Oryza sativa Japonica Group: one gene and its partners. The protein of the gene in region 1 binds, or shares a complex with, the protein of each later gene. Links are inferred from orthologs where the notes say so. Each region holds a gene or a part of one and is shown in the gene's direction. Other genes may lie near its edges.

Region 1 (4,238 bases):
TAATACCACATAATTGCTACTCCTTTATTAATTATTATCCAATAACCATGTCTTCCTTTTGTTTCGTATATTATCTGTTTGGGAAACTAAAGCCTTATTTTGGTCCAATGAACAGTCTTATAAGATGATGACATGCTCATACGCTGATCTAGACTCTGCCTGCATTATGCCAGTACGCGTGTAAGTATAGAGATTACTGTCTCAATGATGCTAAAAAAGATTATCTGTACCGAATTTCTGAATGAAGCTTCAATGCAGCACTATCCCAACTGAAATGATGAGTGTCATTAGTGAAGTCAACAGTCTACTATGCTTGAGTAGCATTGGGGGTGAACCTGAAAATCACAATGCTGAATCTGCTTGCTTTACACCAGTGAAGGAGTAAGTATATATGGTGTCACATTTCTCTCTTTACAGTGCGCATACTTTTCCTCTGTTGCCGATGACCTTTTTTTTTTTTCTGGAACAGTATTCTTCCACCTGAGATGGTGGATATGATGGCTGAAGTAAATGATCCTTCAGATAAAAGCACAAGGGGGAAAAAACCTCAAAGAGAATTGAATAGGGATGAGAATGGGAATTCTGCTTGCCACATCCCTTTGTCAGGGTAAGTAAATGTTACTTTTGTGGTTTTACCATATTATGATTTTAATGTCACATCAATTTTTTTTTACTTAAACATTTTTGTGAAAAAATAGTGCATTGATGCTGACCATATTTATTGGTACAGAAGTAAGGAAGTGCAAATACCTGAAAATATTGTGGAGAATGTGACTTTTCCAAGTCGTGATGCAAATTGTCCCACAATTGAAGAATCAGAAAATGGGTCACTGCATGGAACTAACACAAATCCATCATGTGATGGTTTTGAGGAACCCGGGTCTCTTGAACAACCAACTTTGCGCTGTAAGACAAAGCTAATCAATGAGCTGTCACCTTCCACTCCGGAGCCCATGACAGAGGGTGGCACAGGTTTAATTTTTGTGATAAAAATTCCTCTTCTATTTGTGGTCATTATTATGCTTAATTTGTGATGTGTGGGTTTCACTGATTTATTCAGGGCTACCCTGCTCTCCTAAATTTATGGTTACTACACCAGCTAAAAAGGAGAAGCACCGGGTGACTAGAAAACGAAGAAGGGGATTATACAATAAAGATTATATACCAACAGATAGAGGAGACAAACGGAAGGTTAGAAGAAGAGGAACATGGGTATTGTATGATGAAAATATTGTTCTACCAAATGAGTAAGTAGAGCTTCTAGCTTAGAAGCTCTTCCATCTGTTGCACTACCTATTCCTGTTTGATCTTTTAGGTATCCTAGGAGCTGGTTTGGCAAACTTAGGCTCATCTTATCAGCTTAAGCAGGGATTTGGGATTCTTTGATGAATCTAAGTTCTCAGCTTCTTCTTCTTCCTTTTTTTTTTTTGCTAAGATATTTAAGGCTCAAGGCAAGGTACTGTAAGTTATGAAGCCTATAGCCTCATAAAGAATTATAAGCTGAGAACCAAGATGCTTGGTTGGCTGGCCCTGAGGATGTTTGTGTTGTCCACTGGGATTCAAATCCTTAAAACATGTGCTCTCATTGGTTCTACCTGTTTGCAGTGGGAACCAGCGATCATGGCTGGGGTGCTAGCCTCTTGTTCCCGCACTTTATTTTTGTTTGGGGGCTTGGGTTAGGTGGTAGGCTGCAGTGCCATACTATTTTTTATGTGATCAATGATCATGTAGTATAAGTTGGAACATTAATTTTTCAATATGTGGTACTTCTCTATTTTTAATTGCTAATGCTTTGGATTTTTTTCCTCCTTAATGTAGAACATTGAGAAACACAATAGAGGATGCAAGTGATCTAGTGCAGCAGAGAAGGAAGGCACCTCATACTTGTCTTTATACCTGGAAGGAGGGCAAAATTCGTTCTCTGCCAGTTACTTTCATGGATCCATTGATTTTGTGTAAGTCTTCATCTATACTAGGTGCAATTAGTGATGGAAACCTCCATAATTAACTAAAGAGGGGCCATTTTATTTTCACAGATCCAACTTCGGTGTACGTTAGACACACTATTACAGCAGATACACCAGAAAATTCGTGCAGGGAGTCAGTAAAATCAAGAAGGCGACTTTCGTTGGAGCTTTCTGAATCCAACAATATCTGCGATGATGCTAAAAATGTAGAAGGTGAAAGCATTCCAGATGAACCAAGAAAGAGAAAATTGGATGAATTGACAGATAGTGTACAGGCAACTGTTGGGTGTTACACTGAAAGTGCACAGTATCACAATGATGAAGACTATAGATTTAATGACGATACAGTCAAAGAAAAGGATTTCTCAATTGGAGGACATGAATCTCATTCAACAGAACTGCAAGAAAGATTGAATGCATTGAAAAGTAAAAATCCACAGCTCGACGAGGCATTGGATGCTGATATAGATAGTATGGAAGAGGTAACACTGTCTACATTAAACTCTTTTATAAAATTCTTTTGAAAATATCTGGTTTTGTGTGCAAAATGCCATGCAAACAATTCATTTGTTAATGTATATTTTATGCAAATGAATCATTTGAAAATTGCATCTGGCAGGATACTCATATGGATGAACAACATGCTAGAGATGAAGGTACTCTTTTACACCCTATACTAGTTTTTATTTTTCCTGTACATTAGATCTTTGTTTTTGCCAAGTTCTACTGACATTGTTATTTTGCACAGGTTTGCTGCGTTCAACAAGAACAAGGTGGCTAATGAACTTGTCCTGTTTCTTTTCATTTCTTTTCTTCATGTTGTCGTTAACCTATAACATTCTCTAAATGCACTAATTCAGGACTGTAGCAAGGTACTTCCATCAACTACTCGTGGACCAGAAGTGCCAACAACGGAACAATTCTGTATGCCTTGGTCAAGCACTCGAAGGAACGAAAAGAAAAACTTCAGCAAGATTCTTCTATGAAACTCTGGTACATTTTCTGTACTTATTTCTTGGACACAGTATCTGCATGAGTTTTAGTTGCTTTTTCACTGGAGAATGACTGGTCTTGAGGATCCCATCTTGTGTATTACTGATCTATTTCAGTTCTACGCAAGAACAATCTTCCTTGTGATAAAATTAATATGTGCATTTTTTAGTGCAATTCATGTGCTTTACTTGGGAAATATGCAAGCACTTCTTTGGTTCCATTTCCGTTCTGTTTATCAAAACTCAAAAGTTGTTTGTTTGTTTCATATTTTCAACTCCTATAAGTATAACAGAGGCCCTATGATCCTTACAGCAATTTGTATTGTTTATATCGTCGTTTGCTCTCTTCTGCAGATCCTGAAGAGTGGTAGTCTCATAGAAGTCAATCAAGAGCAGACTTATGGGGACATCATAGTCTCAGCGACTCCGCGGCTCGAGGCGGCATTGCGGAGTAGTGAGAAGCAATGACTTAATTTGACGCAACATGTTCATTGGTAGTTTTCGGGAAAAAGAGATCCCAGCTTCCCAGGAGCGTTTCACCTTGTTTTATCTTCTGTAGCATGTTTATGATGGTCAGTCAGATGTATATACTTAGTTGGGCGCATGTAGCGCTAGATGGTTAGGAACATGTAGAGATGTTAGTTGTTTCCCCCTTTTTTTTCCCCTTTAGATGGATAGCTTAGTTATTTATAATAACTTTAACAGTTGTAAATTGCAGTTTCCTATCAGTGTTAGATCCCGTGTTCTTTTCAGAGTTTTTGATCGTGCGTGTTTGGTTCAGTTGTATATGTGAGTTTGCCAGGATGTTGTCTAATCTGGAAATGATGCAGCTGGGAACAGTTTGGAAGCTATGATGGGAACAGCGAGCCATGGTGATTTGAAGGTACTGTAGTTGGGCTCAGTTGGAATGTATCATTTTGGTGTATTTAACTAAGTCTTAATAAAGCTTTCATTATCTTAAAAAAAAGATACTGTAGTCAAAGCAGTAGCAAAGCCTCTTGAAGGAGCTGATGAGTCCCACACAGTCGCCGTCGTTCTTCGAGCTTCTCGCTGTTCCATTGTGAACTTGAGAAGCTTATGCTTTTCTTGATTTTTTTTAATTCTTCTTTCTTTTTATTTGTTAAGTAGATGCAATTCTATTTGTCGAAGAGCGGTTGAATCTACATACTGCTGAATGTCCAGTTTTAGCTGAATCAACAAATTCAGGATTAGCTGAATTCACAGTTGAGGTATAGATGAATCTAGGTGATCCAAGAGCGGAGCAGCTGAGCCGTGCTCG
Region 2 (4,364 bases), on another chromosome or scaffold:
ACATTTTGCACGTGCTATTGGAAGCCGACACCCTCCCCTACTAGTGGAGAGCGACTAGGACTGAAAAGATATTTCATGGGAAGTTAATTAGGGAACTGTAGAAGTCAATTTTTTTTCTTATGAAAAACATAAAATTTAGGCATTAGAAGCTATATTGGGCATAAGTTGGTGAAGCTCTATGGGATGTACACCGAATTTCTCCTTTTTTTTCCTTAAAAAAATCAATCTAACCTATGAGCAACTAATCAATCTCACTTGTACTCTCTCAATCCAAAAGCCTAAGGGCATATTACTTTTTAAATGGGATTAATGAAAAATTAACTCATCTTGCATATAACAAACACTAAGGATTACTCCTATGTATGCATATAACCAATGAGTATTAAGATAATTGCTTGAGTTCCAATAATTCAGCACTACAAAATAATAAGACAACATCTTTATTTAAGTCTAGGATACATGAAGGCTATAAATATGCACATCTCATTAGAAAAAAATATGCTTAAAACTTTTGGAACAAAATAATAAGACAACATCTTCATTTAAATCTAGGTTACATGGAGGCTATAGATATGCACATCTCGTTAGGAAAAATATGTTTAAGACTTTTGGACGGAAGGGTACAAATTGCATCTTGTTTCACTGTGAATGAAGACTCATGCTTTTATTTTTCCTCTTCTATTGCTGTTCAGGTAAGATTTTTCTACGCTATTAGATCTACAAAGATATAAAGGCACAAGACATTAGGCGTTAGAGGTGAGATTAACTAATTTTTTTAGGGAAAAATGGTAAAAACTAAAATCCCGTGTGGATAATAAATTATAATGTCCAAAAACAAAATGAACGGTCATCAAACATCGAACTATGTGTGATCCGGCGAACGAAATCATCATAGTACTAGTTTATTAGAAAATAGAAAGAGTAATTTTCTCTACAGCAATGCTGCTCAAACAATAATATCAACCATCTAATTTAAATAGATGGAAGTTATAGAAATTCTAGATATACTCACAGCATGAGACATAGTGTTAGACTGTTAGTAAGATAAAATTTACTTCATCCGTTTCACAATGTAAGGCTTTCTAGCATTACCCACATTCATTTAGATGTTAATGGATCTAGACATATGTGTTTAGATTCATTAACATTTATATGTATGTGAGCAATGCTAGAAAGTCTTACATTGTGAAATGGAGGGAGTAGTATGTATAGACTTTTCCTTTTCTCTTTTGCGGGGATAGCTAGAAAGGGTAATTTGATGCACGCCACAGCGGTAAAATGGGGGGAAACAACCGCAGCAAATTCGTTCGGCATGTAAAAGCCTCAAATTCTAGTATTCTACAAGCAAAACATCCACGAAAATAACTCCCCCACATTCCAAAACCAACCACCTGCTAGGGCCCACCTGTCAGCCACCCTACCACCCCGCCCGCTGCTCCCGAAATCCGCGCGCCAAAAGACTCCACATACGAAGCGGCTTCCCGCTTCACTCCCCTTCCCAAAAACTCCTTCTCATCCAAAACTTCTATTTTTCCCCCCCCAAATCTCATCTCATCTCATCCCCCTCCCCTCCCTCTCCGTGCGCCGCCACCACCACCGCCACCGCCGCCGCCGCAGGAGCAACCCCGAGGAGACGGAGGAGGGAGGAGGCAGCCGACGCCGCCGCGATGTTCTACTCGCACACGATCCTTGCGCGGAAGAGCCCACTGGGCACGGTGTGGATCGCCGCCCACCTCGAGCGCAAGATCAAGAAGCCGCAGATCGACGGCATCGACATCCCCTCCTACGCCGGTAAGCCCTCCCCTCCCCTCTCTCCCAAAGACGCGCTCTTTCTTTTCCCCTTTGTTGTTGCTGCGCGGGTAGAAAGGCGGCGCCTTTCAGCGGCGGCGGGGGTAGAAAGGATAAGCTTTTTTTTTTTTTTGGTTCCTCCGTGCAACTGGGATTTGTTCCGGAGTTGTGAGTGAAAAATGTTTTGGGGTTAGCAATGGGGTCAAGTGATGGTACAGAGATTTGGATCCCAATCTGCATTCTGCAATTTGGGACAGGAAGGAAGAAGGTTTGGATAGTTTTTTTTAGAGCATTTTGCTAGGGGTTCGCAGTATTTATCTGGTTATCAGTTAGAATTTCGTGTAAATGATTGTTCTAGTGGCATGATTATTCATTAATGACAAAAGATACAACAAAATTTGGTCTTTTAGTTATGGGAGGTTGTGGTGGGGTGTGCACCGGAGACTTTTGGGTGGATTTTTGCAGGCCCTATTTGGATGCTAAACATTTCAAGAATGACAGCATTTGCATATCCAGAAGGAAGAAAAAAAAAAGAACGACCAAACCCAATTTTTTACCTCCCAGTACAGTATAATCACTTGCGGTGGAACACTGCCTACTTGAGCCACTCTATTTGAAGAGTAATTCATATATGTTTGTTCTACTTATATGAATTACACAAATAAGTTTATATGTTATCCAGTCAAATCATAGAACATTGACAAATAAACTGGCTTGTTGTGCTTGCATTGTTCTTTTAGTACATTATGTAACAGTTTTTACTTTATTCTGTGATTAACTTTACATATTTAACCTTGCAAACTCAAGAACAAAGTAGATAAGCCTTATGTTTAGGAAGCTTACTGATGGAATTTTATTAGAACAAAACATGTTTTTTGACTGGAAGTAAAACAACTGGATTAATATTGCATATTTGGGCATAGATGTCTATACTCTATGGGAAGTTTTTTTTATTCTCTTTGGGAGGAAAGTGTGACAATTTTTTTTATTTCAACTTCGAACTGTGCTTTGCAAGAACTTGTATTATAATGGCATGCTGAATAGGTCACATTTTTCTGCAGGTCGCTTACCCTTGGCAATTAGTTTGTGTTTGCTTAGTGAGGTCATGTGTCGCCCTTAGGTGTTGTGCACGTGAGCGTGTTCTTGGGTGTGTTTGTCAGTTTAACCTCCTCTTTTTCTATCTATTTTCTTCTTAAAGAAATGAAGTTCAGTCCTCCCGCATTTTTGAGAAAAATAGGTTACATATTTTCCTTAGTTAAGTATTGAACAATTTTCTCATATACATTGAATTTTCCCTATGCTTTACTCTGCAACCTAATGCCATGTCTTCTAATGCATGAGTTTTATTTTTTCAGAATTTATCATGTTCCCTGAAGTTCCAATTGCTCTGAGGTTGTCAGGGCATCTTCTTCTAGGTCTAGTTCGCATTTATTCATGGAAGGTAAACTACCTCTTCCATGACTGTAACCGGATGCTAAGCACAATCAGAACCGCCTTCGCTTCTGTACAAGTAGATCTGCCCCTTCATGCGGATCATGCGCCTTTTGACACCATCACATTGCCTGATACATTCCGTCTTGATGACATAAACCTAGATGATGCAATTCGTCTGATAGAGTGAGTACTTTTCTTCTCATATATTTTCTCCGCGTCATACAACCTCAACTAATATTATTGTGTTAACTTTCTGACAGTACGCCAGATAATCATCGGAAGAGTCTGGACCAGATCACCCTGGCTGGTATACGAAGTTCAATTAGTCAATATATGTATTATTATCATTCCAATGCGGATGCTTAATGATTTCATTTTGGTGCTGCAGAAGGAGACTATCTGATGATTGATCTTGATGAGGTATTCCTCACTGACTTGCGCTTTTTGCAGGCTTGTTTAGTTTGCATGTTTTTTAATATTTGTGCTTATAAATTGTGTAGGATGCTAGAGTAGAGCTATCAGCTCCTGGACAATCTTCACACATGGGACCTGAACCAACTGACGAAGAGTACGTGTCATGTTTTTTTTCCTTCTAATTTCTATTTTGGTGGACTCATGTCCGCTTTGCTTATCAGGAGATTGCCTCCATTTCACATCGATTTTGGGCCAAGTGACAATATGGATGAGGAAATTTCCGTAGATCCTTCCCAAGGCAACAACTCGGAGGCAGTGAACACCAGTAACATAAATCAGGCAGATAAAGCACCAGATTTACCTGAAATAATGCGTGAAGCACCATTTGAGGGCCCTGAACTTAACTTGCCAGATATTGATGAGGTAAACAATGATCCCATGGATGTGACTGAGGAATCTTCACCATTTGTGTCCAAGAATATCACCCCTCCGGCACTGGAACGAACTATATCCCCTGGTCAAGGTGGATTATCTGGGACATCCATTCCCAATGCACGAGGAAGTACAAGCACCACATATGACAATATAGAAGATGTTATACCAATGGATATTGGTTAGTATTTTGCTTGTTGACTCATCTTGTTCTTTCCAGTTTTGTTTTCTGCCTTCATTTTTTCATAAGACCTAATAGAAATAAGACTACATTGCAATTCCACCAGCATTACTTA
Region 3 (4,229 bases), on another chromosome or scaffold:
TAATCGATCGACAAGCGATCCATGCATGCATGGGAGTAATTTACAGGCTTCGAGAGTTCATACACTGTTGCATTGCGACTTGCGAAAAACATAGTGCTACACTGAGAATTAATGATGGCCATCCGCAGCTAAGTGATGATCTGTGAGCAATTAGCAATTACCGGTTACTGACGAGAGGTGAGTAGGTAAAGGCATTATTAGCAAGAACTGCATTGGAACAAAGTTCATTCCGGTTGTCAAAACTCAAAACCCCAGCGAGCTGAGGCGTGAGAGCAACATCGCCAGCTGTCGCCGTCGCGTCGCGGGGGGGGGGGGGGGGGAGGGGGGCTACGTGCTGGCGCGGGATTAGATCCATGAATCCATCCGTGCCGCCCACGCCGTCAAACAGCCACGCGCGCGTGGGGTCAGAAACGCGCGCGGCTGCACGGCTGCGCCGAGAGGTGGAGCTCGCCGCTGCCGGCGGCTGTGGCGTTGCCGGCCGCCACCGCCGGACCTCCCCGTGACCCCGTGAGCCATGGTGCCTAGAGGCTGGAGAGGAGAGGAGAGAGATGGAGAGAGGGGAGATGGAGAGGGAGGAAGAAGATGAGGAGGTGAGTATGACACGTGGGGTCCACGTGGGTTCCACTATTTTTTATAATTATTTTATGTGTGAAAATGACATATGGGTCCCACAGACTTTATTATTTTTCCGAATCGAATTGCCACGTAAGCGCCACGTCAGTGCCATGTCAGATGAAGACCGAGTTAAATTAGCCACGTAGGCGCCACGTCAGCCAAAACCGCTATCAAAACCGCCGAGCGACCTCGTTTGCCCGGTTTTCGTAAGTTGAGGGACAGGTCATATCCGGTTTTGCGGTCAAGGGACAAAAATCGGATTAGGCGACAAATAGAGGGACCCAAAGTGAACTTATTCCTTGGGGAAAAAGAGAAGAGAAAGAAGTGAGCACTGATATGTGGGCTCACATATTTTTCTTCTCACTTACATGTGGACTCCTCATGTTTTTTTAATATTTCTTGCTGACTAGGATGTCACGTGAGCGAAACAAGTCTTTCATACTATCATGGTATTTGATTTGGACGGTTTTGACAGGATGAAGGGTAAAAGGATTTTGGTATTGTGTTTTAGGAATGCCAATTAAACTCGAGTGAAGACGGGGTACGGTTAATGGACTTATTCGGGGAGACAATAGTGAAAAATTATTTTGGCCCCGGAAGGCCTTGGCCCATGAGTGGCTCCGGCGCGGTGGATTACCGAGACTACCCTTTACGCGCAAAACATTTCACCGATCTGCCCCCCTGATGTCTTTCTTCCCCCACAAACCTCCCTCCCTTCTTCCTCTCTCCGAGGTCTGAACTCCCACCCCACGCAACCATCGCAAAAACCCCACTCCACCTCTCACCTGCTCTCTCCGCCGCCGCAGCGGCGCAGCGCCTCCACTCTCACTCGCTCATCCATTCCCTCCCTCCTCACGATCGAGAATGTTCTACTCGCACCAGCTCCTCGCGCGGAAGGCTCCGCTCGGCCAGATATGGTGGGTTTGCTTCGCTCTCCGCTCCTCTCGATCGCGTCCTTTCGGCTTCTCTTCTCATGCGCCGTTCTGCGGTGCTCCGTTCTATATTGTTTTCTGCGATTTCTCTGCTCGTTCCGCTCCGAAATCCGAATGTTCGCCACTTGGTTGGAGTTGATTAGGCCGCTGATTACTCCGCTTTTTTTTTTCGCAGGATGGCGGCGACGCTTCACTCGAAGATCAACCGGAAGCGGCTTGACAAGCTCGACATCATCAAAATCTGGTGAGCGAATTAGTCCGAATCCAGTTGTCTCTGATTTCTTCGTTTCGAACTTGACGGTTTTTTTTGGGGGGATTTTGTGCGTGTGGTTTTTGGGTTAGTGAGGAGATTTTGAACCCGTCGGTACCCATGGCACTAAGGCTCTCCGGAATTCTCATGGGTGAGTCCAGTTTGCTTGTTGTCTCCATAGTTCCGATCGCATTTGTTTGGTGATATTTTCTGATGTGGGTGCTTGCGTCGTGGGAGTGTGAGTAGGTGGTGTGGCGATCGTGTACGAGAGGAAGGTGAAGGCTCTGTATGGTGAGTTGCTCCCTGATTGCTTCTCTTTTGTTTCCATTTTTTTTGGATTCGTTATAGACTCAAACTGTGTGAGATCTTCTTCGCAGATGATGTGTCTCGGTTTCTGGTAAAATTCGAGTTCGATTTTCACCTAATTTTGGTGCCTCCTCCTTGATCCATTTGCCTGTCTATGCTAACATGGTTCAGATTACGCTTGTACTAACTCCTCACACAGATTGAGATCAACGAGGCATGGCGGGTCAAGCCAGTCGCAGACCCCACCGTACTTCCCAAGGGCAAAACCCAAGCCAAGTAAGTGCCCTCTTTGTTTCCATGACCTTCTAGGACTAGAAGTTTCTAGATGTTCTGTGCACGGTTTTGGGTTCGAGGGAAGATTGAAGAACATGCTATTATGTTGGTGACCGAGGGGAGTTTGCTTTTGTTTCCCTGCTGCCAGGGATTGTGAGTTTGTGTGTGATTTTCACCATCCGATGCTAATCTGATGGACTCGTCATTTGACACAGTTGCAAGTTTTGATATGTCATCAGCTTACTTGGTTCTGATTAGAACATGCTGCATCTGTGTAATGTTGATTTTATGATGATACTATCTCCTTGCAGCATAGTACATTGTTATGTTTTCAGATGTACCTGATGTTGTCATATGACTGATTGTTCTGTTCTACCTGTTGTCTATTGGCGGTTCATGGGACCCTGCTGTTACTTGCCTCTTGTTGTCTTGCTGACTTTGGTAGCAGCCGATGTCTGTATTATGCAGGAGTACTATTCTACAAATGATCTGTGTTTCCTGGCAGCATAAATTTGTCTGTATGTTGTTCCAGTATATGTAGGTCCTCTACATTTGTAGGGTGATGAAGGGCTTTTGCTTCCCCACAGTGTTTCCTCCTCTCTTAATGAAATGATATACAACTCTCTTGCATATTCAAGAAAAAAAAACTGGAAGGGCATTAGGCAGTTAGGCAGGCATTGTCAGTGAGCGATACATGCTTTATGGGGATGAACATTTGACTTTTTCTTGGGTGTCAGTTACTGGTGCCAAGGGAGCAGGTCTGAGGGCCGTCTGGTACTTGAGAAATGTTGCTATCTTAGAGTCTAGGGAATTCCATCACCTTTGGGAACCGGAGGCAAACATTTCTTAATCTTGTATCATGCTCGAAGGACTGACTCTTGTGGGTGTACCATTTCCTTCCATTGTGGCCTGCATCTGATATGTAACCATGTGGCTGTGCCATCATCCCCTTGATCCCTTCGGAACTATGTTCGATAGTTACTGCAATGTTCACGTGATGTTGATACCTGTACTGTTGCAATGAGTTTAACCCTCTTGGAGTCCTGGATAGTTCCTCTGAATGATTGTATCCCAAGGGTCTTTTCAACTTACTTTTGTAAATAGCATAGAGTGGGTATAAGTTGGTGGATGGAGAATGATATTTTGTACCAAGAGTAAAACAGTAATGGTTTGCTCATCTAAACTTGGGGCTTCATGCAGGTATGAAGCAGTAACACTGCCAGAGAATATCATGGATATGGATGTGGAGCAGCCCATGCTTTTCTCAGAGGCTGATACTACAAGGTTCCGGGGAATGGTAATCCCTGTAATATGTATATTTCGGTGGTGTCTGATTGTATGCATTGAAAGATGGCATTAAGTTATGAGCAATAACCACGAGATAGTCTTGCTTTCAGTCTCCTGACTTTTGCCAGATTGTCTCTATTCCTCTGAAATCCGTCATGCATGTGCAGCGTTTGGAGGATTTGGATGACCAATACATTAATGTCAACCTAGACGATGATGACTTCTCGCGCGCTGAGAATCATCACCAAGGTTTTCATTTCTTTTCTTATGAATTACTCTTTGTGGTTGCTTAAGAGGTGTACTTTCTGACTGAAATATGTTATCTCAGCTGATGCAGAAAATATCACCCTGGCTGATAATTTCGGGTCTGGGCTTGGAGAGACTGATGTGTTCAATCGTTTTGAGAGGTGAAGCAAAATTTTATTCTTCTCTTATTCTACCATTCATTTTTTGCACTTCTTGTTCCTTATTTTGGCCAGTACAATTATTCATTGAGCAATGTTACAATGTCACCAGATTCGACATAACAGATGATGATGCAACTTTCAATGTCACTCCTGATGGAC

What was found.
Region 2: sister chromatid cohesion 1 protein 2 (region 1) and sister chromatid cohesion 1 protein 3 share a complex: the UniProt entries of both Arabidopsis thaliana proteins name them as parts of the cohesin complex. The link is inferred for Oryza sativa Japonica Group from reciprocal best matches to the Arabidopsis thaliana genes SYN2 and SYN3.
Region 3: sister chromatid cohesion 1 protein 2 (region 1) and sister chromatid cohesion 1 protein 1 share a complex: the UniProt entries of both Arabidopsis thaliana proteins name them as parts of the cohesin complex. The link is inferred for Oryza sativa Japonica Group from reciprocal best matches to the Arabidopsis thaliana genes SYN2 and SYN1.

What each region holds. Positions count from the first base shown.
Region 1 is NC_089038.1:24,879,416-24,883,653, forward strand, and holds the end of sister chromatid cohesion 1 protein 2, read left to right. Parts: intron 1-115; coding exon 116-180; intron 181-258; coding exon 259-381; intron 382-469; coding exon 470-607; intron 608-730; coding exon 731-972; intron 973-1,060; coding exon 1,061-1,247; intron 1,248-1,818; coding exon 1,819-1,955; intron 1,956-2,036; coding exon 2,037-2,449; intron 2,450-2,586; coding exon 2,587-2,623; intron 2,624-2,715; coding exon 2,716-2,740; intron 2,741-2,827; coding exon 2,828-2,960; intron 2,961-3,313; coding exon 3,314-3,427; 3' UTR 3,428-3,711; downstream 3,712-4,238. UniProt on the Arabidopsis thaliana protein: May be involved in sister chromatid cohesion during mitosis.
Region 2 is NC_089042.1:10,215,901-10,220,264, forward strand, and holds the start of sister chromatid cohesion 1 protein 3, read left to right. Parts: upstream 1-1,497; 5' UTR 1,498-1,667; coding exon 1,668-1,791; intron 1,792-3,143; coding exon 3,144-3,405; intron 3,406-3,482; coding exon 3,483-3,529; intron 3,530-3,610; coding exon 3,611-3,642; intron 3,643-3,722; coding exon 3,723-3,790; intron 3,791-3,857; coding exon 3,858-4,249; intron 4,250-4,364. UniProt on the Arabidopsis thaliana protein: May be involved in sister chromatid cohesion during mitosis.
Region 3 is NC_089039.1:29,073,672-29,077,900, forward strand, and holds the start of sister chromatid cohesion 1 protein 1, read left to right. Parts: upstream 1-1,344; 5' UTR 1,345-1,479; coding exon 1,480-1,532; intron 1,533-1,722; coding exon 1,723-1,791; intron 1,792-1,889; coding exon 1,890-1,948; intron 1,949-2,043; coding exon 2,044-2,088; intron 2,089-2,174; coding exon 2,175-2,194; intron 2,195-2,302; coding exon 2,303-2,379; intron 2,380-3,576; coding exon 3,577-3,673; intron 3,674-3,830; coding exon 3,831-3,912; intron 3,913-3,991; coding exon 3,992-4,070; intron 4,071-4,179; coding exon 4,180-4,229. UniProt on the Arabidopsis thaliana protein: Involved in chromosome condensation, pairing and segregation during meiosis. Responsible for cohesion between replicated sister chromatids.